Linked DNA regions of Arabidopsis thaliana. The protein of the gene in region 1 interacts with the protein of each later gene in a pairwise test. Each region holds a gene or a part of one and is shown in the gene's direction. Other genes may lie near its edges. The genes, in order: AT4G21570, UTR3, RUS3 and UTR2.

Region 1 (5,755 bases):
AGATTTTATGCATTCGACTCTAATCATATAAATTGTGTGTCTAAAAGTCTACTGAAAATAAATGTATATATTTGAACATGTTACGTACATCAATTTATTTATTATACAATGATTTAACGTCAAAATATTAATAGAGCTATGAGATTAGGTATATTTAGATAACAAATAAAAATAAGAAATAAATTAGAAATAATTTTAGGACAAATATGATGGATCAAAGATTTTTACATCGAAATATATTGTCGGTGTGGCTACAGAATTACTATGAATAAGTTCATTATGGTGACAGCTATAATTTGGGAGGAGAAACAATCGTTCGGGATGTTGATCAGATTCATTTTGTCGTTGAGCATATATACTTCAACCTCATTGAAGGTAATAGATGAATCATTAGGATGCATTCCATCCAAGTCAACGGATATCATGTAATAATTAATTACAATAATGAGTCTATCTATATATGTGTGTTTTCAGTACATAAACTTTACATCTTCTTTTTCTTTTTAGGATCACTCACCCATAAAACTTTAATTCATATGAGCTGTCCGTATATATACGGTCCCCCGGTTAGTAAAGGATTTAATGTTTAAATTTTATTTTGTATCAAATACTATTTACTAATGCAATTTATCATTTATATTTATTTTTCTATCTCATTACCCGAGAGATTACTCTCAAATTTGTGGTAGACGTGTAAGTTTTATTTACAACATTTTATTATTATTTGTTGTTTTATGTTAACTTAATACTTTCTCTTTTCGTTTTCTATTTTCTAGTCATATGGAAAGGATGATATTTACAAATGCCAAAGTGGCAGCAGCGGTAGCAAATTATTTGCCCGATGTGCTTTTTATTTCACTTCGGAGGACTATCTCTCCATTTCGTCACATTAAGTACGTTTTGTTTCGTAAATTACTTATCAATTAAATTTATATATTAATTTGTTTACAATATTCTTGGAATGCCTTTACTCAGAGATATCATACGATATTTGATTTTGGGCACCGCCAAATCGGATTTTCTCTCGCCACTTCCAATTACGACGACCTGGACCACGAAGACGACGTAGACAACGAGGACGACGAGGACAGTGTGGACGACGTGGAAAGACTCGTTCACTCATCAACATTAAGCTTTGTTTTTTTCGGTAAGAACTAATTAAGCTTTTATTTTTTTCTTTGATAATGAGAACTAATTAAGCTTTTAAGACCTTTCATGAGTGTGTAATATTTTATGAAATATCTTTATAAGATTTAACTGCTATTTTTTGTGTTTGCGTTTTTATGCATTTGACGTTAATCACATAAATTGTTTGTACGGTTTCGTAACATTTCAAAATGCTTAACATTAGAATCTTGTTTCATCGATCTTTTATTATAGTAACAAGCGATTGTTTTTTTTGTTTTGAGTACATTTGAAAGTAACGGAAACTTAGTAAAACGAATTCACGAAGAGAAAATGAAAAGTGATTAAGTCATCTCCTCAACAAGCGATTGTTATAAAGTAATAAAATTATTTAGATGAATTGGTTGTTTTAAAATAAAAGGTTGAAAATGTTGAATAACTATTTATTTTATTTTTACGATTTGAAATGAATAGGTTGGAAAATTGATTCAACTCATTCAACAAAAAAAAAAGAAAAATGAACAAATTATAAAAGAAACTTGTTCAACCATTTCATCTACTCTTTTGTAGATGAATGAGTTGAATAATGTTCAACTTGGTTTTGCTGAAAATGGTTGCATAGAGATGAAATAATTGGAAATTTTGAGTTGAAAAATAAAAGTTGAATATTATTCAACTCATTTCTCTGTGAAATAGAAGATATACAAGTTGAAAAAATTTCTTTATAATTAGTTTATTTTTCCAACTTTTTAAGTTGAAAGGGTTGAATCATTTTTCCAACTTATTCATCTTAAATGGTAAAAAAAATAGATAAATGCTCATTCAACTCTTTCAACTTCTTAATTTTAGGCAACCATTTGCACCTATTTTTCCAATCATTCAACTATATGTCATTCATTTGGAGCAATTATATTTCTTAAATCTATATATTTATTTTTATTTCTGCTATAATTCAAACTGTCAAACCATTACCAATAAGATGTGGAGCTAATTCAACATAAGTATATAAAGTATATGAAATGTATAGATCTTTCCACTTATTTTCAAATGATTAAAATTGTACATGGTGTTAGAGCCCGAACAAACCCAAGATAAATGAGCATAAAGATGATCTCACTTCTAAAACCATTTTTGAACCACCATTTCTACTGCATTGCCATTTTTCTTACCGCCTTTTTTTTTTATTTTGATTTTCATAACCGCTAAAAAACTTTTCACCACATCATTATATTATTTGGTCCAACCAAACCAATGGTCCAAGATGGTGCCTTTTTTTTTTGGGCTCAAAGATACAAATCCTCTCTTTTGATTTCTTCTCTCAGCCCATGACGTGTAATGAATGAAGAAAAAATCAATAACTTACATCACAATCATATATCAATTTCATGAATCCTTGAAACCAAATACATACCATACCGACCTCTGTTTAAAAGACTTATCTTTTCTCCAACAAATGCGACAAAACCGTGTGGACGAATCAGAGAGACACATGTATACCAATGCCGACTTCTTTTTATGCAATCGTAGCGTCTCTCTCACGTGGTAAACGCGTCGCCATTTTTATAATACGACCACGTTTGTGACTCCATTAATGGCGGTCTCATGCTCCCTCAATTCTTCATGATCTAACTACTAAGAGATCTGATTCACTTTCTTCACACTCTCCGAGTCTCATCTTCGCTTCTTCCCTAGCTCTTATCTGGTTAGTTCCTCTCTTTCTCTCTCTCTGGTTAGCTAATTTTGCTTTGTTCAGATTTACAGAGATTTTGCTTATCTAGCTTTGAATCAGTCTTGGGAACATAGACAAAATCAGAATTCGACCTTTCAAATTAATGGGTCTGATTGGGTTTATCGAGTTCATCACCCGTTTTCCCAGTCATCTATAAAGTTTGAGTTTTTAATTCGGTTATATACTCTGTTTTGATACGGAGATATCTAATTGCTCCAACCATTTAGCTTTCTAGATCTCATGAGATGTTTGCTTTTCATTGTACAGTTTAAATTAATGTTAAGCTAAAGAGTGAATTTTGATGTGGAGCTATTTGGCTGAATATAATGCTGAAACATTTGTGAAGATTTAGATGTTTGATTGATTAGAATTCTTGTGCAAAGTCTGATGGCTTCTTGATGCTAAAGAGTTATGTGTATTAATTTTGATGCAGGACACAATGATGGACCTAACGAAACTGAAGCCTCCACAGATCACTTTTTATTGCTCGGCGTTTTCCGTCTTGCTCACACTTCATTTCACGATACAGCTTGTATCGCAGCATCTCTTCCACTGGAAGAACCCTAAGGAACAAAAGGCTATACTCATCATTGTGCTTATGGCTCCTATCTACGCCGTTGTTTCCTTTATTGGTTTGTTAGAAGTCAAAGGAAGTGAAACCTTCTTCCTCTTTCTTGAATCCATCAAAGAATGCTACGAAGCTCTTGTGAGTATATTGTTTTATCGCTTGTGTTAGTATACAACATATTGTAGAGACGACACTTACCAATTTTTTTCGATATTTTGCAGGTCATTGCCAAATTCTTGGCATTGATGTATAGTTATCTAAACATATCTATGAGCAAAAACATTTTGCCTGATGGAATCAAAGGAAGAGAGATTCACCATTCTTTCCCAATGACTCTTTTTCAGGTTCGTCTCTATCTTCATTGCATGATTTCATCTAATATCTATTTGCTTCTTTACCCTTAAAAGCTTTGTGTCTATTGTTTTGACAGCCTCATGTAGTCCGTTTGGATCGTCACACTCTTAAACTTTTGAAATACTGGACATGGCAATTTGTGGTCATTCGACCCGTGTGCTCCACTTTGATGATAGCTTTACAGCTCATCGGGTTTTATCCTTCATGGTTGAGCTGGACATTCACTATCATTGTCAATTTCTCGGTTTCTCTGGCCTTGTATTCTCTTGTGATATTCTACCATGTGTTTGCTAAGGAGCTTGCTCCTCATAATCCACTCGCAAAGTTCCTCTGCATCAAAGGAATTGTCTTCTTTGTCTTTTGGCAGGTAATGTTTGCATTAATCAGTAAACCCCTCAAAACAAGATTTCTCATGTTTGGATATACTCATAAGATTCTTTTGATTCTGAAACTGCAGGGAATAGCACTAGACATACTGGTGGCAATGGGATTCATAAAATCTCACCATTTCTGGTTGGAGGTAGAACAAATCCAAGAAGCAATTCAGAATGTGTTGGTATGTCTTGAGATGGTTATCTTCGCTGCGGTTCAGAAACACGCTTATCATGCTGGTCCTTATAGCGGCGAGACCAAGAAGAAACTCGATAAAAAGACCGAATGATTTGGGCGTTAGAGTGGACATGGACTGGTTTTAAACCAGCCATTTTTATAGCCAATCTTTGGTGATCTTGTATGTTGTTATGTTGAGGAGAAAGATCTAAAGGTTTTGCTTTACAACTTTTGGTTTCCATGATTGGGGAAAAAAGAAACAATAAAGTTGAAAATTTAGATGATATGAACAATAATGTTAAAGCCACTACACTTTTCATCAAAAGAAGTAAAGAACACTACTCATATTAATATCTTTCCCGTATGCATGAAATGAAACTTTTTCACCATTGTTACTCTAGTCTTTGTTCAATTGTTGTAAAATCAGTTCAAATACTCAAATTCTTCTTACTTCTGTGACAAAATAAAACACTCGTTCTCATTGAGTAGTAAAATTCGAAAGTAATGTTGTTGAAATCTTAAAAAAAATCATCAAATTATTTTTCATGATTCTATCGTTCTGAATTTGTAACCAATCAAAAGCTCATTTATGTATGAAAATATTAAAATAATTTATTTGTGAAGATAAAAATTGGAGTAATGTATTAATTGAAGGAGGGTAAAAAAGTCGCACGTAATATACGGGAAAAGGCGTGCGAAAGGACTAAACACAAAAAGTCTCTGGATTGAATTGGTTTGGCTCTCTGCTCGAACGATTCTCTCTGATAACCCGATTGTCAACTCCACAGCCCACAGGTCAGATTATTTCCGATTTAGGGTTAATCGAGTTCTCGTTTTTCGAAATCGATCAAATTTATATTTAATTTAATTTGCGCGAGAATCGATGGTGATTGATTTGTTGTTGATCCAGACAGAGACAGAGTTCGTTGCCTTGCCTCCGTGTTGTTTTGTTCATACCGCGTGAAAAGCTTTCATCATCAATTCATCATCATAAAGAGGTGTCGTGTGAGCACACGCAATCTCCCAATCTCTCTTCTCTCTCTCTCTCTCCAATCTCCATATCTTTGTCCTCTATAATCCGGAGAAGTAGCTCTACCATCGAAATCTCCCAACTTGCTTCCTTGTGAGTTTCTCTCTCACTTCATAAATTATGGTTTTTGCTTCAGTAGAACGTAGAAATTTGGTATTTTGATTGTTGGGTTTCAATGATTTAGGGTAAAGATTCATTGGGTTTTCTCCATTTCTAGCTTTAGTGATTATGATCATGATTTCATATCATCCTCTCTCTCGGTTTTTGTTCATCAATGTCTTCTGGTTCTTGAGATAACCTCCTAAGCTTTTTGGTTTAATGATTCCTCTTTTCTATCTTCTATGATCACCTGCATTTCTCTTGTTTTGGTTAGATGTTAATCTCCTTAGTGTGATTTATT
Region 2 (7,440 bases), on another chromosome or scaffold:
AACCGAAACCTCCTTCCCCTAGTAGATTATCTTGACGAAAGTTCTTAGTCGCGTTCTTGAGTTCGTTGAAAGTGAAAGCTTTTAGGTTAGGCGATGAAAGTATCTCTCCTTCTGTCCTAAGTGTTGGTAATGGCCCAAAACTACTATCTGTGCTGTAAGAAGTTGTGCTTAGTCCTGAAGGACCCGTTGAACGGCTTGTCTTGCTTGAAACTTTAGAGCCCGAAGAAGCTATTAAAATGATCATTCAAACATAGTAAAATCTCTTTAGTTTGGTGTGTTTTCAATCAAACTCATGATGCTAAGAACATCAATACAGATACAAACATGGATCAAACACATGTACTAAACAGAGCAATTCAAAAGAGTTTGACTTTTGATGATCCAGAGATGGACAAATTACTTATTCGAAAAACCCATTTTGAGAATAAGAAGAAATATCCAAGAAACTGTAACATAGAACCCAATTAAGCAATAAAGACTTGAGAGGAAATAGTTACCAGAATTAGCATGTGGGCTATGGTTGCTATTATCCACTTTAGCTGATGAATCTAAACAATTACCCATTTCAGATAATAACCCTATATGGAGAGACAAAGCTACTGTTCTTTTCGTGGAACAACGTAACAGATGATCAAGACAAGAAGAGAGCCTCAAGAAGCAAAGACAACAAGCTTCTTCTTTCTTTAATTTCTTTCTATCCTTTCGACTTAACGGCGGCGCAATGTCTGTTTAGCTGAATATGAACGCTAATAGAATAAAAGTATTACAACATGAAAGGAAAATCTATATAAAAAAGAAGGAGAGAAGAAGGAACAAGGAAGGTGAAGAACAGAGGATTTGAAGCAAATAATACAAAGTCGTCGTGTCCTTTTGTTTTGTACTCAAACTCATAACAATTTCTCAAAATGACAAAATGCCCTCGAGTTAGTTCCTTTAGACGGCCATCGGAAAGGACAATTTTAGTAATTTGAGATAGATACGGTAACGTCATGCTCACGGCAGTAAATCCGCGTGGGATAATAAATGGTACGACAACTTTTCAGAGATAACTCATTCATTCATTCAGTAATCGAGTGATAAACTGATAATTTCTAGGAGGATTGGTGGTGGACAAAAAGTCGTGTTTCACATCTAATTTTCAGATTTTATAATGTATCAATCAACGAAAATTTCCAAATTCTTGAGATAAAAAACATTTCAAAAAGTAATCAAAGATATTTATTTTGTTATATTTTAAAGTTAATAATATTACACATATGAGACATGACTTTAAACTTGTCATTTTTCAAACAGAAATGAAATGAAACAAGACTTGCTTGAAAATATTTGTCTCTGTTTCATTTTTACAATGTTTCTTTAGAATTCTTGTTTTCCCATCTCCATCTTTTAAATGTTACAGGGAATTATATTAGATTGTTCAAGTTTTTTTTTTTGGTTAAAGTTAATGGCTCAAGTTATTAGTATTCATGATATTAAATTCATACATGAAACAGCTTATGAATACTTTTTGTTAGTCTGAAATTTAGAATTTAAAAAGAATTAAAAGGAAGTTGTGGTTTTTGTTTGGTGTTTTTTTTAACTAATTATGGTCATGGTTGACGTCTGCTAAGGGACAACAAAGTGGTGGGTCTGGATCGCCCATATCGTTGAAATTTTGATCGATATTTTACAATAATACTTACTATCGTTCAGTCACAATTATTAGCGAGATTCCCCTTCAATCAAGATGTTAAGTGTTTACAACTTTTCTTTGGATGTTATATTTATGTTTAAGAAACTTTTACATACACTTCCAAATTATGAGAGATATCAAAACCTTAGAATAAAATTTGGTATTATGGACGATTTTATCTTTCTGAGACGTATTGGATTTACTATTAGATTATTGTGCATATGGCATGCATGCATTAGATATATATAGTCTTTCTTCGATAAATAAAAGTTTAGTCAATGGATGAATCAATCTTTATGTGTAGATCTTTTGTTGATCAACAGGTGATCAAGATTTAAAGGACCCGAAATTAGTTACGAAGTATTGTGGATTTTTCGCATTCTAGTTGACCAAATGAATAATTAAAGTATGAGATTCAACTCTTAAATAATATTTTTGTAAAATTAAGTTTTGAGTTAAGAGACAACGTTAAACCGTCATAATTTATGTGTGTTATATATATAATCGTCAAACCATGGTAAATAACTAAACGCATAGTAGACAAAAAATTTGTAATCATAGATGTAGACGACGGTAATCATCATTTAGATTTGAATTTTTAATGGAACGTGGTGGCTAACGTCGAATACATTTTTGGTGTATTTCTTAAATATAATATCCCATGCATTGACCCAAGAAACTACTTATTAATCAGTTAATCTATATTCACATTGTTATTGACCGGCAGATCGAAAGAGAGTTCTTTTTTCTTTTGCATATTGCATATCACGTGTGGACAAAAGCCCCATTTGGAATCTTTTATGATATTATATTGTTATGTTACACATTAATTTGTTATCTCACCAAGACTTCTATTTTCATTTTGTATCCGGTAAGAGTCACTCTTTTGAGTTTTGACTTTTGACTCTTCAAAATGTATAATTGGTTCTCCCATGAGGATTAAGTATGTCATATAAATTCCGTTTCCCAATATATATAACTTCTATTTTCATTGAGATATAGTATAATATTATTCGTATAGAAAATTACTCAAATCATAATGAACTATGCATGAGTGCATGCATGTGATACCTTGTTTTAATATAATGGAAATTCGATATTTCAAACTTTTCTCGCTATGTTGACGTTATTGTCACATTTACTTTAAGATATATCATATTTTGTTTTAGTAATCTTAACAATGGGTCATCACTAAATTTTAATCAATTAAATCATGTTGGCAACTTTCCTCCATTTGTGTATATACGCCTTTTTCTTTCATTTTCTTACCACAAGTGATCTTAGATTTGTATGAATTCATCAGTTAGTCAAACTGACATGATTAGCTGTGTGCAAGTTTGCTTAATCAAATTAAGGCCCAAGCTGTAAAAAGAACATCCGTTTACAAGTTCTAGGAAACTGCGTGACGTTTTCATGACAATAAAACGGCACATAGTTCCCATTCCTATCTCAGACATGAATGTGCATATGACTTGGATTCCAGAAATAAATCCACGTCCTATAGCCAATCAGAAGTGTCATGTCAGATTATTAAGCCAATGACACAGTTACACGTGGAAAATCTACGTCTTTCTCGCGCCTCCTACACTCTCTCTAATAACTTTCGTTTCCACTTCAGACCGATCTCATAATTTGATCGCAAAACTGATCAAATAGCGTAAAATTGAAATTCAAATTTTCGCCGGAGCTCCGTCGGATAAAACAATAAGCGACGTGCGGCGATGGAATCTCACGGTTCCGGTCTCCGGCGAGTTCTGTTATTGTCGTTCTGTGTCGCTGGGATCTGGGCAGCTTACATATACCAAGGCATTCTTCAAGAGACCTTGTAAGTAAAACTCGTTAGGGTCGAAATCGATCAATCTTATTTTAGCTCGTTGATTATTTTCTCTCGACATTGCTCGATTCTGTTTGTTCGAGATTGTTTCTATTCTCGGAATCCTGGTTGGTGATGCGTTTGCAATTATTGGAAATTTATAGAAATGTAGCTGATAGAACTCTAACATTTTCGAATTAGGTCGACGAAGAAATTTGGTGAAGATGGGAAGAGATTCGAGCATCTTGCATTTCTGAATTTGGCTCAGAATGTAATCTGCTTGGTTTGGTCTTATATAAGTGAGTAGGGCATCTTCATTGTTTATTCCTTAGAATTATAAGTTTATAACAGACGAATAAATGGAACTGAAGTATTTTTGATTGATTATGAGCAGTGATTAAGCTCTGGTCCAACGGAGGTTCTGGTGGAGCCCCATGGTGGACGTATTGGAGTGCTGGCATTACTAATACCATTGGTCCTGCTATGGGCATTGAAGCTTTAAAGTATATTAGTTACCCAGCTCAGGTAAATTAGGCATTGTTAGTGTAATAAAAACCTCATTTTTCTTGATTATGGTTGATAGTTGAGGTAATAACCTTTCTTGGGAAGTAATATTGATGCAAAACTTGCTTCTTGCAGGTCCTTGCAAAATCTTCCAAAATGATTCCAGGTGAGGTGTCAATTTAGAGCATCAATCCATAATCGCTCTCAACTGCTGCTATGTGTATCTTATATATGTTTTTTCTTTCATGTAGTTATGCTGATGGGCTCCTTAGTTTATGGCATAAGATACACTTTGCCTGAGTATCTTTGCACCTTTCTTGTTGCCGGAGGAGTATCTATGTTTGCCCTTCTTAAGGTAGGCAAATCTGCATTCAGGAACTTTGATCATAATCTTTGTTATACTTTGTCTGTGGAAATGTAGTAAACCGTCTTTGACTTGGTTTACAGACAAGCTCTAAAACCATCAGCAAGCTAGCACATCCCAATGCACCCCTTGGTTACGGGCTTTGCTTCTTAAACCTTGCCTTTGATGGATTCACAAACGCAACCCAGGATTCCATTACCGCAAGGTATGACTCTTGACATTCTGTCAGATACTTAACCCAGTCTGACATCTACAACATGGTCTAGATGTTGGACATTAATCATCGCCATACATGGATACAGGTACCCCAAAACTAACGCATGGGACATAATGCTGGGAATGAATTTATGGGGAACCATATACAACATGGTCTACATGTTTGGATTGCCACATGGGAGCGGATTTGAAGCTGTGCAGTTCTGCAAGCAACACCCTGAGGCAGCATGGGACATTCTTATGTACTGTTTATGCGGTGCAGTAGGCCAAAACTTCATCTTCTTGACAATAAGCAGATTCGGGTCTCTAGCTAACACGACCATAACCACAACCAGGAAGTTTGTAAGCATCGTGGTATCTTCAGTTTTGAGCGGGAATCCGTTATCTTCCAAACAATGGGGATGTGTGTCGATGGTGTTCGGTGGATTGTCTTACCAAATTTACCTGAAATGGAGGAAGCTGCAGAGAATGCAGAAGAAGAAAAAGGCCTGAAGCTGAGATTGGGGATCAAAATATTTAATTCTTCAAGAAAATTGTTTTTGATTTGGAAACTTTTTACTTCCAAATATGTCTGAAAGTTAGAGAGAAGAAAGCTTAGTCCATTAGCAAAATGTAAACTAATGCATTAGAAGAAACTTATATATATCAAACCAAAAGACAAATCATATATTTCCACTCATATATATTTGTCTTAACAATACAACAAACTCTTCCTTCTGAGTTTTTCATTTTTCCTAAAGTTACACTCTGGAAAACTTCTTTATATATATGTGATAGAGATTCTGTACAGAGATGATGAAAACAAATCAAGAAATCTGGGGAAAATGCTCAGATGATGTATCTGAGTAAAGCCCTTAGAGACAAACCAAAGAATTTTTTCTTAAAGACACACTGGTGCCTTCTTTTGTAGATGGCTTCCTTATGTTAAGTAAGAAAAGAAAGAGAAATCTGAATCTGAGTATATGGCAGATTCTTGAGAACATTCTTTGATGGGGCTAGAAAATGTTACCGTTAACATTCTAGGACCAGGAAAGAAACTTAAAAACCTTGAGGGAGGAATGCAGATCATGGCATGCCCGCTTCACAAAAACTTCCAGGCCGATATGGCTGCAAAACCTAATATGAAATCTAAGCAAAAGTGGAAAAAATTACGTCTCCATGGAGACTAAACCGCGGTTTAGGGTATGAGAGAGATGGTTGGTTGGTTTACAAGCTATGGAGAAGGACTCTTTTGCAAGGGGGTGGTTTTGAAGGATTAGCACTTGGACATGGAGATGAGGACTCGATCCCTAGTGTTTTTAGCAGGAAGCTCCTCTCCTACAAAAGCAATCAGTCTTTTAAGACTCATTGTTTTTTCAAAGCCTAAGTATTGTATGATGAACAAAGAAGGTGCGAAGCTTACACTTTCGGAGAACTGTGGACTTGGTATACCGTCTGCCAAAGATCTGAACAATGGCGTGACCTGAATAGGCGAGCTGAACTTTTCTTCGCCTGAGATGGGCATATTCTCATCAGGATTTTTCGGGACGAGCAACTCCTCTCCAACTTGCTTATGTTCTGTCTGAGTATCTGCTGAGAATGGTTGTGTTTTATCACCAGACTGATCCACCATGATGGTTGATCCGGAACTATACTCAGAGCTAGCTGGTGAGTCATGAAGATCAGGTTGCCTAAAGAACATCAAATGAAATGGTTATACAATCAAAACCTTAAGATGAACACAAAATTTTTGTGGTGATGAAAAGCTACCTCCAAGATAATTGATTGTCTTCATAACCACTCCTCAAATCCTCTATAAGGTCCTTAAATTCCTCGATCTTAAAATCTATATCAGGTATTCCATATCTGAATAAATCATTCTCCTTGCCTTTATTCAAGAAGTCCTGAAGAACCTGTATATATGCATACAACAAGAGGTATGTTATTAGTAAGCTTGAAACTTTTCGCTATTTTGATATGCTGCGAAGTTTGTTGTTTTTTGGTTTACCTTCCAAGCATTCTCCATACTCTGTTCTGTGTTGTCTGCATTAACTTTCTGCGCCAAGGAGCTTAAAAGTTCAGCTTGTTGCATCAAAGCTGTCACTTTTGGATCATCCTTCTTAAGAAACATCCCTTCACCATCACTCTCATTCACATTGCTTGTTTGATTCTGTTCTTCCAAGCTATCAATACCAGTGGCATTTCGAGCTAAAACCGAAAATGGAGACCTTATCTGCTGATTCACACATGCCTCGGCCCTTCCATAGTTACTGATCTCTGTGAGATCTAGAATGTGACTTCTCCTGTATAATAACCAACAAACCCCCATGAAATTTGTGAAAAGTGAACACACTCAGGAAACTTAAGTTTATTTGATCAAAAAAGAAACAAAACTTACTTCAATTTCTTAGCAATAGGAGTTTCATTCTCGGATTTTCGCGGTGTACTGATACCGTCTAAGAACAACATTCTTTTGGTGTTTGAGTTGCTGTCTTTAGTCATAGCTTCATGCTTGGCTCTCTTCTTACAAAGTGTTGTAAACCTGTTCTTCACAGCATTATCAGTTCTACAAAACACATAACGAACAGAACATTAGTTTAACCACTCTGGTCTTATAATGATGACTTCACCTACACCTTTAGAGTTTGAGCTTGAGCTATACCTGCCTGAAACCACCTTTGCTATCTCAGTCCATCTATTACCAAATACTCTTTGTGCCTGAGAAACCAATCACACAAAAGTCCATTAAAGATCAGACATAAACCACAAACACCAAACTTAAAAATCTTATCCATGTAATGGAAGTCTGTGTAAGTGAAGTCACCTCACACAAAAGCATATCTTCTTCAGGGGACCAACCTCCTCTTTTGAAATCAGAGTTTAAGTATGTAT
Region 3 (8,187 bases), on another chromosome or scaffold:
AGACTAGCAATTGGATTAAAAGAAACAGAGTGAGGACATTATAACTAACTTGGTTTTGCTTTGAATCTTTCGGAGAAACTCAAAGATTGAAACTTTGAAGAAGATTAGATTAATAAGAAGAGTCTTTAATAATTAGAATATCCAGTCTTGAGATTCCCCCTCAATGATATAAAAAAGTCAAGACTTTGCTCGTCAACGGCCAATTTACATTGCACTGGAGTAGAAGAATTCACATCAAGTTTTGATTAGCGGAATTTTAAATTGCTTAAATTTAGTGAACTCGAGATTTTTTAATGTCTGAATGAGAAAAAGATTACTCAAGAATTTAACATAAACAAGATTAATACATTGGATCCATATGACATTCATGTAAAAATCCTTCTTCTAAGGCGTGCTATACATGATCTCTAATCCAAAGTGTCAATGCTTTTGGGATATCATATGGGCCATCCAATGAGAGAAGAATAATAAGTCCTTTGTTGTTGTTAGGCCGTTTTGCATGAAATCCGAGTAAAGAGAGATAAATCAAGTCACTAAAAGTATAACGCCTGCGGTTATTGAAATATATTTATTTATTTTAAGCATTCATCATATATGCATGCATATACAAAGGAGTTTTCTTTAAGATGCCAATTTGCAATAGCCTTGCTTTGAACATTTCATGTTGCAATCAGTATCTACTTGGCAACGAACATCATTATTCATCACTTTAACCAAATTACAAACACAGTCGCATTGGTTGCTGCAATAACCTCCCTCTGGGCAATGCGCTTTACAATCACTATCATTCTTACAACATGGAGGTGGTGGTCCACGATAACCACCACTACCACCACCTGGACAACCGGTGCATCTTGGTTCATTCGGCATACATGAGTTTTGGTTGACAGAAGTTTCACTGTTTTGAATGCTAATTCCATTTTCTGCATATATTAATAAGAGATAAGAAACAAAAAAAAACATATTAATCAATGAAAAACTATGTAAATAAAAAATACTAAAAGCACAAAATGAAACTTTAAATATTTTTTGTTTACTTACGGGTTACGGCAAAAAGTAGAGAAACCAATAACAACAATTTTAAGGAAGCGATCTTCATTTTCAAAGTCGATGTTTTTTTCCTTCACTGGAGAAGTTTTTGGTTGTTTGGTAAATCTTGCAATGGTGAAGTTGAAGGTATTCTTCATCGATTTTTTTATTTTTATAGTCCAGTTTAGGCGATGGTTAGATACTATTTTTTTTAATATTTACACGTGGAAATTGAAGTATAATTGTTATTGGATTCTTTTGACTAACAACAAAGTTCTCATAAACATGGAAATCTAATTAAAGTTTTAATTAATACTAGATATGTTTACCAAATAAGAGTTGCAAAATTGGAAATAAAGGATTTTTTTCGATTTAAATGTCTATCTATATATTTCTTATCAGATTTAGTGGACTATGCTTTATATTAGATGATGATTGACCCACGCAAATTTTCTAAAATCATTAGTCCAAATGCTTATGTCTAAATAAGTATTGGATCAAAGAAAAATCAAAGATGATTTTATGCTTAAAAAAAAAACATAATTTAGTGACCAAAATACTATTGAATAGGAACAAAATCGAGATCTATCATTACATGTTGCTACAGGCACGGTGCCCTCTTTATAACTTTAAAACATTTTGAAAACAACAAAAGATTACACAGATTCAGAAACGAAATTAATTTGATCCATTATTTAAAACCTCTAAAACCTTGATCCATTTTAAGTAATAGACATCGACCCACTTAACCACTGAACCGTCTTATTGAGTAATTTAACCGGAAAATTTTACTGAACCAGAACCTTCCAATTGAAGAAGAGGCTTTAGTGAATCATCTTCGTCATCGATCATCAGATTCTTCAGATTCGCAAGTAAAAACTAAGAATCGACCAATCGTTTATTACACGAATACTTACTTATAAAGACAATATTAAATAAACCAGATATTTTTATTCCAATTAACCGTCCAAAATAAAAATAGATAGCCGTTTTATTTTAATTTCTCCCTATCCTACAAAGTGAAAGTCGCCAGTATCTCTTTGTACTCCCTCGCTATCTCGAAAGAGTCGTGGATGACTGCGTCGCTGCTTCTCCTGTACTCGAACTGAATGGTAGAGTGATCGACGACAATTAAGGTGACGAACCCAAAGTCCTTGTCGCCGAGCAGGCTCCAGCTGGACTGCATGCAAGAGAAATCATCTAGACTGGCTCCTCCACCTCCCGCAACAACATGAATAGTCCCGTTTAATGGCTCCTGCAAGGATGGTTGGATGGCGTGATCCCGAATACATACATACAGTTTTTCTCAAATAGTTGTGGCCAAAATCCAAATATGTACCATGTGTTTTCTCTGTTATGAACCTAGGTGATATTTGAGCACTAGCTACGATAATATTAGAACTAATTTGATAAGAAAATGGAATGTTTTTTTCTTAAATTTTTCTTAAGTTTTGCTTAAGTTTTGCTCAAGTTTTTCTTAAGTTAGAAAGAACTTTTGGGTTCGTCATTTCTTTTCTGAGAGGGAATTAAAAAGTCAAATTTGTTCTTGCTTTTTAGCTGCTGTTCAAATTCAGAATCTTGTCTTCTTCTCTCTCAATTTGTTCCATAGATCTAATCAGTTGAAATAATGAATCTGAATACTATATATATATATATATATATTCTAATATAATACAATGATGTTTGCATATACTTTTAAAAGACCCTGACAAGAAGAGAAACTAGTAACACATCAAACTTTAAAGAATTTGTAAAGAAATTTAAGACTCATTGCAGAGAAGAGAAGCACAAAACCTCGTAGTAAACCTTGATGAGGAAAAGACCTTGATAGGCGTAGAACACAGTAGAGGTGGATCGACATATTTAACTCTTGTAAGACAAATCGAAGCACTGTAGAAACAAAGAAAAAGGTGCAATGTAAAGCTTTTATCATATAAAATAACACAAAGCTTTACATCAAATCCGAGAACTGTTGGAGAAGCTTTGACATAAGCTTCTTCATTCACATCAAACAGTGTCCTATGAATTGCAACTCCTGACAAAGGTTGCTTTCGATGAGATTTTCCCTCTTGAATTGACACAAGAGTCACCAAAACATCAACAAGTTTCCCATTTCTCACAAGAAGATCATGAAAACAAATGTCTGAAGATGAAGATGAATGTGATACAACTGTGTTCTAGAGATAACTTGTAGGAAACAACATTTATAAAGTTGGTGACTGATGATCAAAACCTAGAAACATAGGCACAAAGCATATAAAGATATGGTGATCATTAGCATTAACATTCCTTTCACACACTTCCGTGACTTGTTGGTTTAAGTGTTTCTAAATCTAGAAATCCAATTGGGAGCCAAAAGAAGACTATGATGTGGACATGTGACCTGCGTTTGCCAAAAACGTACCTTTTACTAACCCAAAGTCCAATCACATTTGGGTCATTGGACTATTCAATTGCAATTGAAACCCAACACAAAGTCCAAAACACTCATAAAGTCTAAACATTTGAATAAGTGATTCTTTTCACTCGTAAGAAGCCAAAATTCGCCATGAGAGAAGAACAAGTCTCTGATTGCGGATCGATTACTCTTGAAGAATGGAATGGTTCTTCTTCCACTAAGCTATTCAAAACAGCAACCATCACTGCCTCCTCTTCTCTCTCTATCCAAAGGTTCTTCTTTATTCCTCTTTGAAATCAATCCAAATCTGATAGTTTCAGTGGATTCACAACAAAATTGAGAAACTTTCTTGGGTTTTCGTCTCCTGTGAGTGATTCATAGGTCTGCTAATCGCTTTAATCATGTGTGGAGACGAGTTCTTCAAGCATTTGTACCAGAGGCAAGTGTTTTCTCTCTTTTTCCCTTTAGAATCTGTCCTCCGGATTAGGGTTTGGCTGAATTGTACTTTGTCTAGTGCAGGGCTTTCCTGGCAGTGTAACTCCAGATTATGTAGGGTTTCAGTTATGGGACACATTACAGGTATGTGAGAATATGCTTGTATGCCTTATAGCTACTGTGAAATTTGAATTGTGACTCTCGGCTATGTTTGTTGCAGGGCCTCTCAACTTATACAAAGATGATGCTTTCCACTCAGGTGAGCTAAAGCTAAAGTTTTTGAGCTTCTGAGTTCTCTATTTTGGTCCAATTTGTCTGCTGCAGCATTTCTGATTTGGACTATTTTCAGGCTCTTTTGAGTGCAATTGGCGTTGGTGAGAAATCCGCAACTGTTATAGGTGCTACATTTCAGGTGAGTTTTTCCATTGCTTACATATAACATTTCACACTAGTTCTCTCAAGAACTATAAAGCGCAATGGAGAATAGTGATTCTATCTTGTGTATTATGCAGTGGTTTCTGAGGGATTTTACTGGGATGCTTGGAGGTATATTGTTCACATTTTATCAGGTGCCTATGTAGCAGATTCTTCCCAATCATAATACACATCGATTCTCTTCCCTTTTCTTTAAGATTTAGATTGGTTACGTTCTTATTTAATGGGAACTGTTCTGTTCTTCAGGGTTCCAACCTGGATAGCAATGCAAAAATGTGGCGCCTAGTTGCTGACCTTATGAATGATATTGGTATGTAAAAGTTAGTTGTCACATCACACTTGATACTAATTGCCTGTATTTGGTTCTCAGTTGAATGACTACAAGCTTTGTTGCTTTTATTGCAGGAATGCTAATGGACCTTCTTTCTCCTTTGTTTCCATCTGCCTTTATCGTTGTGGTTTGCTTAGGGAGCCTATCAAGATCATTTAGTGCGTATCATTTCTTGCATCAAACATTGAAGTTAAGACTTCGGTTTGGATTGATACATCGGTTTTTAACTTTTTTCAATCTTGGCTATTAGCTGGTGTTGCAAGTGGAGCAACCAGAGCAGCTCTAACACAGCACTTTGCTCTTCAAGACAATGCAGCGGATATATCTGCTAAGGTACTCTTTACTTCTTGTCACTGTGAATGATATAGAAACTATAAATGTGAACTTTGAGTAATTCTTTGCTTCTATTTTATCTATTGAAAGGAAGGAAGCCAAGAGACTATGGCAACTATGATGGGTATGTCATTGGGAATGTTGCTAGCTCGGTTTACCTCTGGAAACCCTATGGCTATTTGGCTTTCGTTTCTCTCTCTCACCGTGTTTCATATGTATGGTAAGTCACAAATGAAGGTTAAAGCATAGATCAAATCAGAATTTCTCTCACTGTTTGCCTTTCTTATATATTTAGCAAACTATAGAGCTGTCCGGTGTCTTGTATTGAATTCATTAAACTTTGAGAGGAGTTCAATTCTTCTAACACATTTCATTCAAACTGGCCAAGGTAATTTCGAAATGCGCCATTGATTCTTTCAAGTTTTCAGTGGCTTTCCTTTGTTTTTTATTGGTTTCTCTTTATTATTGCACCATATACCAATAACTTTCTTTAACTAAACGTGTTGCCAGTTCTCTCTCCCGAACAGGTTTCTTCAATGGAGGGTGTATTGCCCTTGTGGGCCACTTCATTGAGGTCAACGAATTCAAAGCCATTGCATAAGAGAGTGCAGTTAGGTGTGAGAGTTTCCTCTCTCCCTCGTCTAGATATGTAAGCTCTATACTAGATTATCATAATTTTCGGGTAAAGAATCGGCTCAAGCTTGACATATTTGTGTGCAGGTTGCAGCTGCTAAATGGTGTTGGAGCTTCTTCATACAAGAATGGTTTGATTGATTTATTTTTCCACAATCTTTCAAGGACATTAGTTTCTCTGTCCATACTTGACGTAAGCTCGGTTCTTGTCTGTTGTTGTACACTCCTGCAGCTAAGTATTTATTGGCTCACATAAAGGGAAATGTTAGTGTGATCTTGCACAAAGATTCAAAACCTGCAGATGTGTTGAAATCATATATTCATGCCATTGTTTTGGCAAACCTTATGGAAAAGAGCACATCTTTTTATTCAGAAGGAGAAGCTTGGATTGATAAACACTATGACGAATTGCTCCACAAGGTAAGATTAAATCACTAGGACCAGTTAAACCGTGTTTTTATGACACTAAAGCTACTGTTTTCACTCTTTTTCTTTCTGTTGTTTCCCATGTAGCTGAGATCAGGAGGTTGGAAAACAGAGCGTCTTCTTTCGCCTTCCATTACTTGGAGAGCTAATTGGATATCTCACACTTCCGCTGCTAAGTTCGACTGAGCTTTATCGCCTTTCAAGATCAAAATAGTTTGTTAACTCGTTGCAAACATACAAAAATATGTTAGTTCTAAGTCATGTAAAACATGTAACCGATACCGGTTTAACCGTAAAATGTCGGTTTAACATTGTATAACGTTTGTTATTAATGGAAAATTAAAGAATTATAATAATGGCAACCGTTTTATTTTTTTGGAAACGCAAAAATTGGAATCGGAACCGCTTCGAACGTATAAATACTTCAATTTTGTGATTCTCTTTCATTATCACTTCATGTTCATCGTTTAGCTCGTAGCTGAAGCTAATTCCACAACTCCGGCCAATAATTCCGCCGGCGAATGGAATCCACGGTGAGTATTTCGTTTATAGTCAGACACTTGTACCCTAGTTTTTGGAATTCGATTAATTTATTGTTTGTTAATGCTATTAGGTCATGCCTGGGTTTGATAGAATTAGCGAATTGCCGGAATCTTTGATTAGTCAAATACTGTTACACCTTCCGACTAAAGCTTCTGTGAAGACGAGTGTTTTATCGACTAGATGGAAGAATCTATGGCTTAATGTTCCCGGACTTGATTTGAACTGCCGTGATTTCCCCTTTCAGAACAACAACGAAAAACTGTTGATTGATTTCATTGACAGATTTCTCCAGTTTAACAATGAGTCACGTCTTCAAAAATTCAAGGTAGATTACAGTAGAGATAAGATCATTAAGTTCTCGGATCGGATTGGTGACGCGATTAGCCGCGGGATTCGAGTTTTAGATGTTGAGAGCAATACCTATTATCGAGATGCTGATGATTGCATTGACTATCCTTGTATCGAGTTCATGCCTCTGAATCTTTATTCGTGTAAGACATTGGTTTCTTTGAAGCTTTCGTATTCGGGTCTTGAGGATCCAGGGTTTGTCTATTTGCCTTGTCTCAAATTCATGCATCTTCGAGAAGTTCGATGGGATAGTAGTGGTACTATGAATCTGGAGAAGCTTGTTTCAGGTTGTCCTGTTCTTGAAGAACTGATTTATCTTCATGATGATAAATTGGTGGTTACGCGTGTGAGATCTCGAAGCTTGAAGAGGTTTTCTATTCCGTTTAGGCATAAACTTTCTTTGTTTAGGAGAGTGACACAGACATTTGAGATTGATGCTCCTGGACTAGAGTATATGAGTCTTAAAGCAGACCATTTCGATAGAATCGTGGTAAAGAACCTTACTTCTTTATTCATGATTGACCTTGATATCAAATTCATTGTCGGGTTTGGCTGGATGTTTGATCCGGAGGACTTACCAAAGAGAAATGAAATCCGTGATTTTCTCACCGGGATATCTAGTGTAAGACATATGGTCATCTCTCATAATACAGTGAAGGTATATATTTTTGTACAACAAATTTTGGTCTTTTTCTACTTGGGAAACTCTCACTAGCATCCATTTTTTCCTTTCCTTCTTGTTGCAGGCCCTTGATCTTTACTCAAAAGTAGGACTGATTCCCAAATTCAATAACTTATCCCGTGTAGAGGCTGCGTTCCCGAGCTCCTTGTTACAGTTTTTGCCAGCCTTTCTTGAGAGCTTCCCGAATCTGAAACACTTAATCTTGGTAAAAAAACTTAAATGATTTTGGCGTAACAACATTGTGGCTCTTGTGGATGTTTATAATTGAATACCTAGCTTTACTTTTGTTGGTGTTTTCAGGAAACTGAATGTCCAGTGGAGGTGATGGAGAAGTTTGAACTCGTAAATGTGCCTCGGTGTTTCGTATCGACTCTTGAACATGTTGAGATAAAAGGATTGTTTGACTGGGGGGAACAGGATATGAAAATAGCGAGTTACTTTCTCGAAAACTCAGCAGTCCTCAAGAAACTGATTCTGAGTTTCATGGGTTGTCCTCAACATTATTCGGAATCAGATATCTACGAGGAACTTAATAAACTCACAAAACGTTCTCCGAGATGTCAAATTATCATTAGATGCTGAATGAGGCCATGA
Region 4 (8,399 bases), 590 kb from region 1:
GTGATGAGGAGACAAGACGATGAATATAATATGTTCATGAGTTGGAAAGTGAGCGAGAAAAGAGAGATTTATGTGAAGGAAATGAAATGGGGTTGTATCAATGGGGATGAGAAAGAGTATGTGGTCGAAGAGTTGGGGAATGGTTTCCTCACTTCCTTGGTTGACGAACTTATCCATGATATATCCTTGTGAAACTGTTTTCTTTGCCACATATGTATGTATTATACTATATGCATTACTAAATTTATGATATATAGTGCTATTATCTTTGTAAATGGTATGACATATATTGTCTGAATGTTTAATGAGTAATGAGAGATTGATGAAACAAACAAAAACTTCTAAACTTTGAACTTGATTACGGTAAAATCTCAGCGACAGAAGGTTGATAGAATCTCACATTAAAAGTAAACTAGTACAAATCTAATGACAACATCTACTGTATCATCTAAATTCATGAAAAATAAGTCTAAAAAGGATAATAATAAATTACCACGTTAATGTTGAGCGGTTTCAAGCATAATGAACGGCCGTTAAGTGAAATGGGCCCTAAACTATAGTTTTTTTTGGGCTTCAACTAATCTGAGCTGGATTAACTTTAACGTAGGAGTGGTAAAGTTAATACATATAGAACTAATCAGTTTAAAGTTAACCATGACTTGAGTCACTAGAGATCTCATGCATCCTCCTAATTTTATATTTAATGAAAATTGTAACAAATTTCTCTTACAATTTTTTTTAAAAGCAAAACCTAATTTCTGTGCATAAATATATCTAACCTCGAATCCCAAAAATTGAATTATTGTTTCAGTAAGAAAAGAAACCCATAATTTAGGAAATAAACCGAATTCCCCTATGTAATAGAATTACGTACCAAATCATTGTTGCTGAGAGAGAGACGCTTGAACGCATGGAGACAATTTCGATATTTGAAAACTTGTTTACTAATATATTGTTAGATTTTAATAATTTGCATTTGTTGCACTAACCAAAAATTGCGACATATTACCTATAGTTTGTTTTTTTTGGGGGCAAATTACCTATAGGCTATATCACTGCATTTTGTAATCACACGTAGTCACATAGGACATATATATTGTATAGTTCTGTTTATTGTATACAAGAAAGTCATACTCGTGCTATGTTCAGTTATATGCCTTAATATTAATAAGCCAAATTTAACGATATAAATATAATTTACTAAGTTTTAGGACTTGTATATAAGTTGTACAGTAGTACTACTTGTTTAAAATTATACGTATAAGTGTATAATTTTTTTTTCTTTTCTTTTAAAAATTTAGTTTTATAATATTTTAAAAATATTCCTAGCAAAGAAAGAATAATTCATATATGCTGACTATCACGTCTAGTTGTAGTAGTAGCTACACAAATACTTGAATTTGAATTAATAAGTATATAGATAAATTGTACAAGTATCACCTATTATAAGTTTGCCAACCCTGTTTTGCGCATGATAATACGGCAGTAACAGTGTCCATAATCAATAATAACACAAAATCTTATTAAAAATTCGTATTTTATTTAGAAGAAAAAAACTAATTCATCTATGAAAATTAGAAGGAGACGTAACCGCTAACTAGTGTAACTGGACCTGCCTTCGGTGTTTGGTAAGATTCCGGTACTCTGTACAAAATGGCTGAAGCTAAGGCCCACACTATTTGACCGTACGTCACTGGATTGTTTCTCTAACGACTTTGATTCTTTTACTCGCTTGAGTTTGAATGTAAATGTCTGATTTTTTTTTAACAAAAAAGAATAAAATATATATCTACATAAATCTATAGTTTTCTAGCAATAATATTGTTGTCAATTTGTGAAATGTGATGGGTTGCTTGCATATGCAAAAGTCTCTCGATCGAAGTCTTCCGTTTATTATGAACCACACAAATGGTTTTAAGCAAGAAAAATATCTACGAGTAAGATCAATTTTGTTATGTGTAGAGATTATCATTTGTAACTTTATGTATTAATACAATTGCACGTAAAGCTTGACCTTCTAATAGAAATAAATTTGATAGGAAAAAATCTCTAATACCAATTGCAATTTTTTTGTTGTTGTAATATTGCAGTAAGCTCTCTCATTTAAGCCTTTGAACAAAAAATAAAATAAATATCAGATTTATTGTTGAGTTTCGCGTTGGTATTTCAAGAAAAGAATATGGTCTTTGGCTTTTGACCAAAAAAAAAAAAAGAATATGGTCTTTGGCTCTTTGCGACGCCTATATGCATATATGATATTTGTATGACTATAGACTCATAGTTAATTTATTTTCTATTCCATTTTAACTTATCAGTGTCACTAATCAAAGCTATTATTAAACGGTCTATTTTAAAACAAACCATTTTGTCTATATGCTATTTCATATACGACGATTATAATCGCTTCTTTAGAACTAATAGCCAATAATAATGTATATTTCGACTGTTCACCATACACCGCCACCTAATTCTTCTAAAACATTTCAATTCATTGACTAAATATCGTCATTATTTTGCTTACACATTTTGTATATGTTCCTCCAAATTTGTTCACTAGAGTTTTCAACTAGAACAAAACAACTACTCTGTTGGTGAAAGAATGAATATGCATGTGTGAAGTTTATTGCTCAATATGGATATAGAAGATGAAAAGAAAAAGAGTAAATTGATTTCTTTACCAAAACGTGTCCAGATGTTATGTCAATATGTAATTCTGACATGACCAGAACTTCTGTAACGCATTTAACAATCACTTCCGAAAATAACAAAAACAAAATTCAGGAAAGATGATGAAATTGTAAAAGACAGACTGTAATGGCGTCTATTGAGACAATGACTCAATCTGTCTTAAACCGGAAAGTTGACTCGTAAGCCATATTGATTATCTTTATTAAATTTTCCTTTTTATTCTCTTATTCTCTCGAAGTAGTAACTTTCTTTTGCATCAAATAAAGAAAATATGAAAACGCACCCCTAAAGTTTATCTTATTTTTTTTATTAGTGCCTCTAGTTTTCTAATGTGTAGAGTCAGTGACACACTTTCTTTTTACTTTATATCAAGATTTGATGATATCATATGATTTTAGACTTCTAATTAAGGTTTTTGTAAAAATTGTCACACTACTTTTTTGAATTCTTTCACTTTTTTTAACAAATGTTATTTAGAAAACATAGTCAATATACAGATCCTAAATGTAGATAAAAATTTACAATTTTGACTAGCAAGATCTGATTTGATATGTTTCTTATATATCAATTTTTACCCTTATTTGTTCCATTTTACTTTGATACTTTTTTTTATAGACAAATTTAGATAATTTTATTTGATAAGTCATAGCATTTATTTTTCTTATTTTTATACCAAAATTTATTATAAATACATTTTTCAAACAACACATATACAACACAAACTGTCATTAAAACCCAAATTTTATATATATATATATACCAAGCTGGTAATAATATGATATGATCGTAATTAGCAAACATGAGATCATGCAATAAAAGACTTAAGACAAAAAAATGTGCCACGCTGGTAATGCAAATTTTGTCGTGGTGTGTAGATAAACAAAAGTTTCAGACTTAAATCAAACATACATAAACGTTAAGGGTCTTACTTGCAAATTTGAGTTTTACCGGTAAAAAAAAGAGTAACAGGAAACGTAAAAAGAAGAAGAAGAACGCTCAATGGAGAAAAAACGTGTCCCGAAGTGGCAAATCACGCGACGAGTCTCTTCTTCTTCTTCTTCTTCATGCGTTTTCTCCTTCCTTCTTAAAAGCTCTCTTCTTCCTCCTCCTCTTTTACCAATACATCTATTAACTCTCTCTTCCCTCTTCATCAAGTTTCTCGAGGAGAGTGAAGAATTTGGTTTTAATTATTCTTTGATTACCCTTTTTGTGGTGTGGTTTTCGTTATTTCGAGGAGTGATAATAATACCGTTATGAGTCATCACTTTACATGTGTTTGATCAATTACTCTTAATTCACTTTCTGGGTTTCTTCCTTTGAATCTCTCCTCAAAGAAAAGAAAAGAAAAATGAAGGAGGAACAAACAAGATCTCTGTTTGGAATCTCTTTGTCTGATAAACCAACTTGGCAACAGTTTCTCATTTGCACTTCTGGTTTCTTTTTTGGTTATCTCGTTAACGGTGTTTGCGAGGTTCGTTTCTCTCTTTTTTGCAATTTGATTCGAGAATTTTGATACATAATCAATCAACGTTAATGTTTTTGTTTGTTCTTTGTCATAATTCCACATACCCAGCTCCTGAATCTCGTAAATTTATAATTTTTTTGCATTTTCAATCTCTTGCATGCTAAGTGTTTGATGTTTTGTTTCTGAGAGAAAAAAAAACAGAGGAAGAAGAAAAAATTGCATGACGAACTAAACTCTCTCCAAACTTGTGAGAGATCACAAAAAATCTGTGATCTTTGTAAAGAAAACAGATTTTAGAGAATGTGATTGGATCTACAAGTACTCATATATGATCATTGACTTGATTTATTTTTCTTTGGTTTTGCAGGAATATGTTTATAATCGTCTTCAATTTAGGTAAAAGTCAACTTTTGATTACTCTTTTAAGTTTTAGATTTGAACAAAAGTTAACAATGGGATTTTGCTCTGTCTTTGTAGCTTTGGGTGGTATTTCACGTTTATACAAGGATTTGTCTACTTGTTTCTAATCTACCTTCAAGGCTTTACCACAAAGCATATAGTTAATCCGATGAGAACTTATGTCAAACTCTCTGCTGTTCTCATGGGTTCACATGGTTTAACCAAAGGATCTTTGGCTTATCTCAATTATCCAGCTCAAATCATGTTCAAATCCACCAAGGTAATAGATCCACATTTCCCAATTACAGTCTCAATGAGTTTAAATTGAGTTTAAAGAATGATCGGAATGACCATCTTTCGGATGTTTTAGGTGTTACCGGTGATGATAATGGGAGCGTTTATACCCGGTCTTAGAAGAAAATACCCAGTCCATGAATACATTTCAGCGTTCTTGCTTGTTCTTGGTTTGATCCTATTCACATTAGCCGATGCGCAAATGTCTCCAAATTTCAGTATGATTGGGATTATGATGATAACCGGTGCATTGATCATGGATGCTTTCTTGGGTAATCTGCAAGAAGCTATCTTCACAATGAATCCTGAGACAACTCAGGCAAGGAAACTAAAGAAAACACGGTTCTTTCGGTTTTCCTTTACCGGTCTGTTTTGTTTCGTTTCTGAGATTAACTCTTGTTATGTGTGTTGTGCAGATGGAGATGCTTTTCTGCTCAACAGTTGTTGGATTACCGTTCTTGTTCGTTCCCATGGTTTTAACCGGAGAGGTTTTTCGTGCGTGGACTGCGTGTGCACAAGTAAGTAAACAACCTCTGTTCTCTTTTTTCTGGTTTGACTTTTGGTCAACCTTTAACCAAACCAAGTTAACCTTATGAGATAGTCGTCCATTTTAAGTGAAAGTGACAAAGAGTGGAACCTTTTATTTGGCTTTGAAAGTACTTCTATAGATTTGACTCGGTTTATGATTCAAACCGGAGTTGGACTCAGTTTAGAGAAAAAGTCAAAATTTGTAGGATTCTTGGTACCACGAAATGAGAGAGATCATTGACCGACGACGTGCCTCTGAATCTGCCAAACTTTTTAAAAGCCAAATTGTCTCTTTTAAATTCATTGATTCCATAACTTAAGTACCAACGTGGAATATTTTATAGTCAAACGGTTTAATGATTCATTGGTTGACATATTTAAAACCAATTGTGCTTTGTTTATATTTGCAGCATCCGTATGTGTATGGAGTGCTTGTATTTGAAGCCATGGCCACATTTATCGGTCAAGTCTCCGTTCTCTCGCTTATTGCTCTCTTTGGAGCCGCCACAACTGCCTTGGTAAATATCTAATCTTATCTTTGAATACTCATTTGTATTTTAATTGACTCAATGGTCTAAAATCACATTTCGTTGTGTGTAGATAACAACGGCTAGGAAAGGGGTTACATTGTTGCTGTCGTATTTGATATTCACAAAGCCGTTAACGGAACAGCACGGATCAGGCTTGCTGTTGATAGCAATGGGGATTGTATTGAAGATGGTTCCAATGGATAGTAAAGCTCCGGCCAAGATTCCGGCGAGACCAGCGGTTAGGATCGCAGGAGGCGATGGTGATAGAGAAGAGGACGAAGAAAGGAAGTCATTGGTTTGAGAATGTGCCATGTATTTATATATATTTTATCTCACAAATTCAAAGGGTTTATAGAATAATGTTGGATGAAGGAGACACAAAATAGAGTTAAAGTTGTGTCAGAGACTTGTTATTAGATTCTAAAGTGAAATTGCAAAAGATTGAGCTGTTAAATTGTTAACTATGATATGAATTATTTTTGTCATCACTCTCAGAAGAAAGCATTATTCGTCTCAAAGCCTATTCATAAAGCGGGAAACGCTAATGACTACATTCTAAACGACAGGATCAGTGAAGAACCTGATTCTATCTAAGATCCTCCAGTTTCTTTCTCTGATCTATGAATAACAAACTTATCGACAATCTTTACGGTGTTGACAGGATCCTGCTGCAATGTTGTTGCACACCATTTGCTTGGAAACCTTCTGTGATGACTCATTTTCACAGTCGATCTCGGCTCTGCATCCCAGTCCTTGTCCAGCTTCCATTCCTTTGGCACCTGTACTCATTCATCACATACACTCCTCTGTTTAATTCTATAATCACAAACTTTTTCTTTTGTCATTTCGAGAGTTGTTTTTCTCACCTTGTCTACTCCGAGAGTGAAGACTTCAAGGTCTCCATCAGGTTTGATGTTGGAAACGGGTGAATGATTTGTTAATTGGCGATCCGAAGTGAAGAAAATGCTTCATCAAAGTGTATGTGAAGCCAGTTGATGGATATATATAAGTAACTTCCAAAAACCAAAGATACAACAGGGGTTGAGAAGAACCCAAAAGTAGAGGAACACAGAAGCATAATAGATGGCTTGCTCCGCTTCGAGAAAGTGACTCCCATTCCTTTCTCGACAGATGTTAGTCCGTGTAACCGCCATCACCTATGTCAAATACTTTACTTTCGGCTGAAAAATAGTTTTCTATTTCAGCTAAAACGAAGGCTAAGTTGACGATTTTACCTCGGGAATATCAAATGCTGACATAAGATACTTGATGCAGGCAGGATATAATCCGAACGTCCACTGCTCAATACGGTCTCGGAGGCCAGTAGGGTCCGGAAAATGTTCATTTTCTACTGATTTGTACCACTGATACAATGTATGATACCCTGTGTAGCAAAAAGTTTGAAAATCTCAAAATCCATTAAGGTTTGATCACAGATACAAAAAAATATCAATTAAAGTAGGATCACATATTTTTTGTCCACTTGTGTCAATGACATTGTAATGAGGAAAGCCACAACATTCTATGGAAAGGAAACTGACCGGAGTTTGCAAGGAGCTTATGCTGAATACAGATTTCTATGCCGAGTTCCAACAGCAACATAAGAATCAAAGCAGCCATCAGGTGTGCAGAAACATGAAGAATTCCAATTAACAGTCGTTTCCTCCGAGATATTTTTGAGGGAACAAACATAATTGCAGTTATTAGCAACATAAGAACCCCGGTGAAAGACACATATGACTGCTCTGTTACATACACAAAGGAGCTCCAAACTGTGCCAAAGAAACTCCCCAAGTGGCCAGAAAATGAATCGCCTCGTAAGATATGGCCTAGCTCACACTGAAACCAACAAGGAATGAAGATAAAAACTTTCTCGTGAGTGCAAGTGAGCATAAAAATTTCTTCGCACAGGAAAAACACTACTACAGATATGCAAGGCCTGTCTCAGTTTGACCATTTAATAGTGGATGCTGACAATGTGTACCATTTTAACAAAAAAGTCTTAATGACCAAGTCAGGCTGCATTGCTGAGAAAATAAATATAAAATGGAGAAACAAGAAACAGTTCATATGAAAAAGAGTTTGATAAAGTCAAAGATGTGTAAAACCGCACCTGAGGGAACAAGGAAAAGACCAAGAGAAAGTATATGATGCCACCAATGAAATCAAATTGCCAGTTCTTTTTCCTGAACTTTAAAATATTTCCCAGAGCAATCTGCAAATAACAGCAAACAACATAAAATATCAGAATGCAAAGAAAAGAAGGCGAATCAGTAACCGTGGATAAGAGGTTCAAGAAACAAGAAAAAGTTTACCCTGCTTGAATCTTCAAATGAAGGATAGGCAGATTTACTTTCATAAGAAGCACCATAAAACTTTGAAAAGCAGCGGAACACATGGGTGGGATGCAAAAAAGCCCCTCCACAGCCATTAACAAGGAGATGTGGGACATGAACAGGTCCATCTGATTGAGTACATGAATGACGCATATAATG

Evidence for each region.
Region 2: the proteins of AT4G21570 (region 1) and UTR3 interact in a protein complementation assay, tested with the Arabidopsis thaliana proteins (one large-scale study listed by BioGRID).
Region 3: the proteins of AT4G21570 (region 1) and RUS3 interact in a protein complementation assay, tested with the Arabidopsis thaliana proteins (one large-scale study listed by BioGRID).
Region 4: the proteins of AT4G21570 (region 1) and UTR2 interact in a protein complementation assay, tested with the Arabidopsis thaliana proteins (one large-scale study listed by BioGRID).

Annotation. Positions count from the first base shown.
Region 1 is NC_003075.7:11,469,808-11,475,562, reverse strand, and holds AT4G21570 (organic solute transporter ostalpha protein (DUF300)), read left to right. Parts: upstream 1-2,541; 5' UTR 2,542-2,827; intron 2,828-3,287; 5' UTR 3,288-3,293; coding exon 3,294-3,560; intron 3,561-3,643; coding exon 3,644-3,766; intron 3,767-3,852; coding exon 3,853-4,437; 3' UTR 4,438-4,728; downstream 4,729-5,755.
Region 2 is NC_003070.9:4,908,983-4,916,422, reverse strand, and holds UTR3 (UDP-galactose transporter 3), read left to right. Parts: upstream 1-3,255; 5' UTR 3,256-3,393; coding exon 3,394-3,497; intron 3,498-3,686; coding exon 3,687-3,784; intron 3,785-3,879; coding exon 3,880-4,010; intron 4,011-4,124; coding exon 4,125-4,155; intron 4,156-4,240; coding exon 4,241-4,344; intron 4,345-4,436; coding exon 4,437-4,558; intron 4,559-4,655; coding exon 4,656-5,061; 3' UTR 5,062-5,330; downstream 5,331-7,440. Other genes in the region: APK2A (protein kinase 2A), read right to left, coding at 1-228, 498-564; FLP (Duplicated homeodomain-like superfamily protein), read right to left, coding at 5,776-5,886, 5,972-6,239, 6,319-6,461, 6,557-6,851, 6,947-7,114, 7,211-7,266, 7,373-7,440. UniProt on the Arabidopsis thaliana protein: Essential sugar transporter required for the transport of UDP-glucose from the cytoplasm into the Golgi and the endoplasmic reticulum. Essential for pollen development and involved in embryo sac progress.
Region 3 is NC_003070.9:4,718,140-4,726,326, forward strand, and holds RUS3 (root UVB sensitive protein (Protein of unknown function, DUF647)), read left to right. Parts: upstream 1-3,434; 5' UTR 3,435-3,577; coding exon 3,578-3,699; exon of another isoform or gene 3,700-3,808; coding exon 3,809-3,866; intron 3,867-3,946; coding exon 3,947-4,006; intron 4,007-4,082; coding exon 4,083-4,121; intron 4,122-4,211; coding exon 4,212-4,274; intron 4,275-4,374; coding exon 4,375-4,431; intron 4,432-4,543; coding exon 4,544-4,607; intron 4,608-4,702; coding exon 4,703-4,786; intron 4,787-4,878; coding exon 4,879-4,961; intron 4,962-5,051; coding exon 5,052-5,181; intron 5,182-5,256; coding exon 5,257-5,349; intron 5,350-5,471; coding exon 5,472-5,610; intron 5,611-5,681; coding exon 5,682-5,725; coding exon of another isoform or gene 5,726-5,826; coding exon 5,827-6,014; intron 6,015-6,107; coding exon 6,108-6,206; 3' UTR 6,207-6,376; downstream 6,377-8,187. Other genes in the region: AT1G13755 (Defensin-like (DEFL) family protein), read right to left, coding at 622-923, 1,042-1,099; AT1G13760 (uncharacterized protein), read right to left, coding at 2,226-2,284, 2,824-2,962; AT1G13780 (F-box/RNI-like/FBD-like domains-containing protein), read left to right, coding at 6,542-6,553, 6,634-7,569, 7,658-7,798, 7,894-8,175.
Region 4 is NC_003075.7:12,058,124-12,066,522, reverse strand, and holds UTR2 (UDP-galactose transporter 2), read left to right. Parts: upstream 1-3,664; 5' UTR 3,665-4,036; coding exon 4,037-4,159; intron 4,160-4,520; coding exon 4,521-4,549; intron 4,550-4,630; coding exon 4,631-4,832; intron 4,833-4,922; coding exon 4,923-5,165; coding exon of another isoform or gene 5,166-5,188; intron 5,189-5,234; coding exon of another isoform or gene 5,235-5,262; coding exon 5,263-5,364; intron 5,365-5,447; coding exon 5,448-5,588; intron 5,589-5,784; coding exon 5,785-5,892; intron 5,893-5,940; coding exon of another isoform or gene 5,941-5,974; coding exon 5,975-6,205; coding exon of another isoform or gene 6,206-6,216; 3' UTR 6,217-6,339; downstream 6,340-8,399. Other genes in the region: TRM11 (uncharacterized protein), read left to right, coding at 1-192; AT4G23015 (uncharacterized protein), read right to left, coding at 5,941-6,216; AT4G23000 (Calcineurin-like metallo-phosphoesterase superfamily protein), read right to left, coding at 6,876-7,061, 7,140-7,288, 7,446-7,743, 8,018-8,119, 8,220-8,399.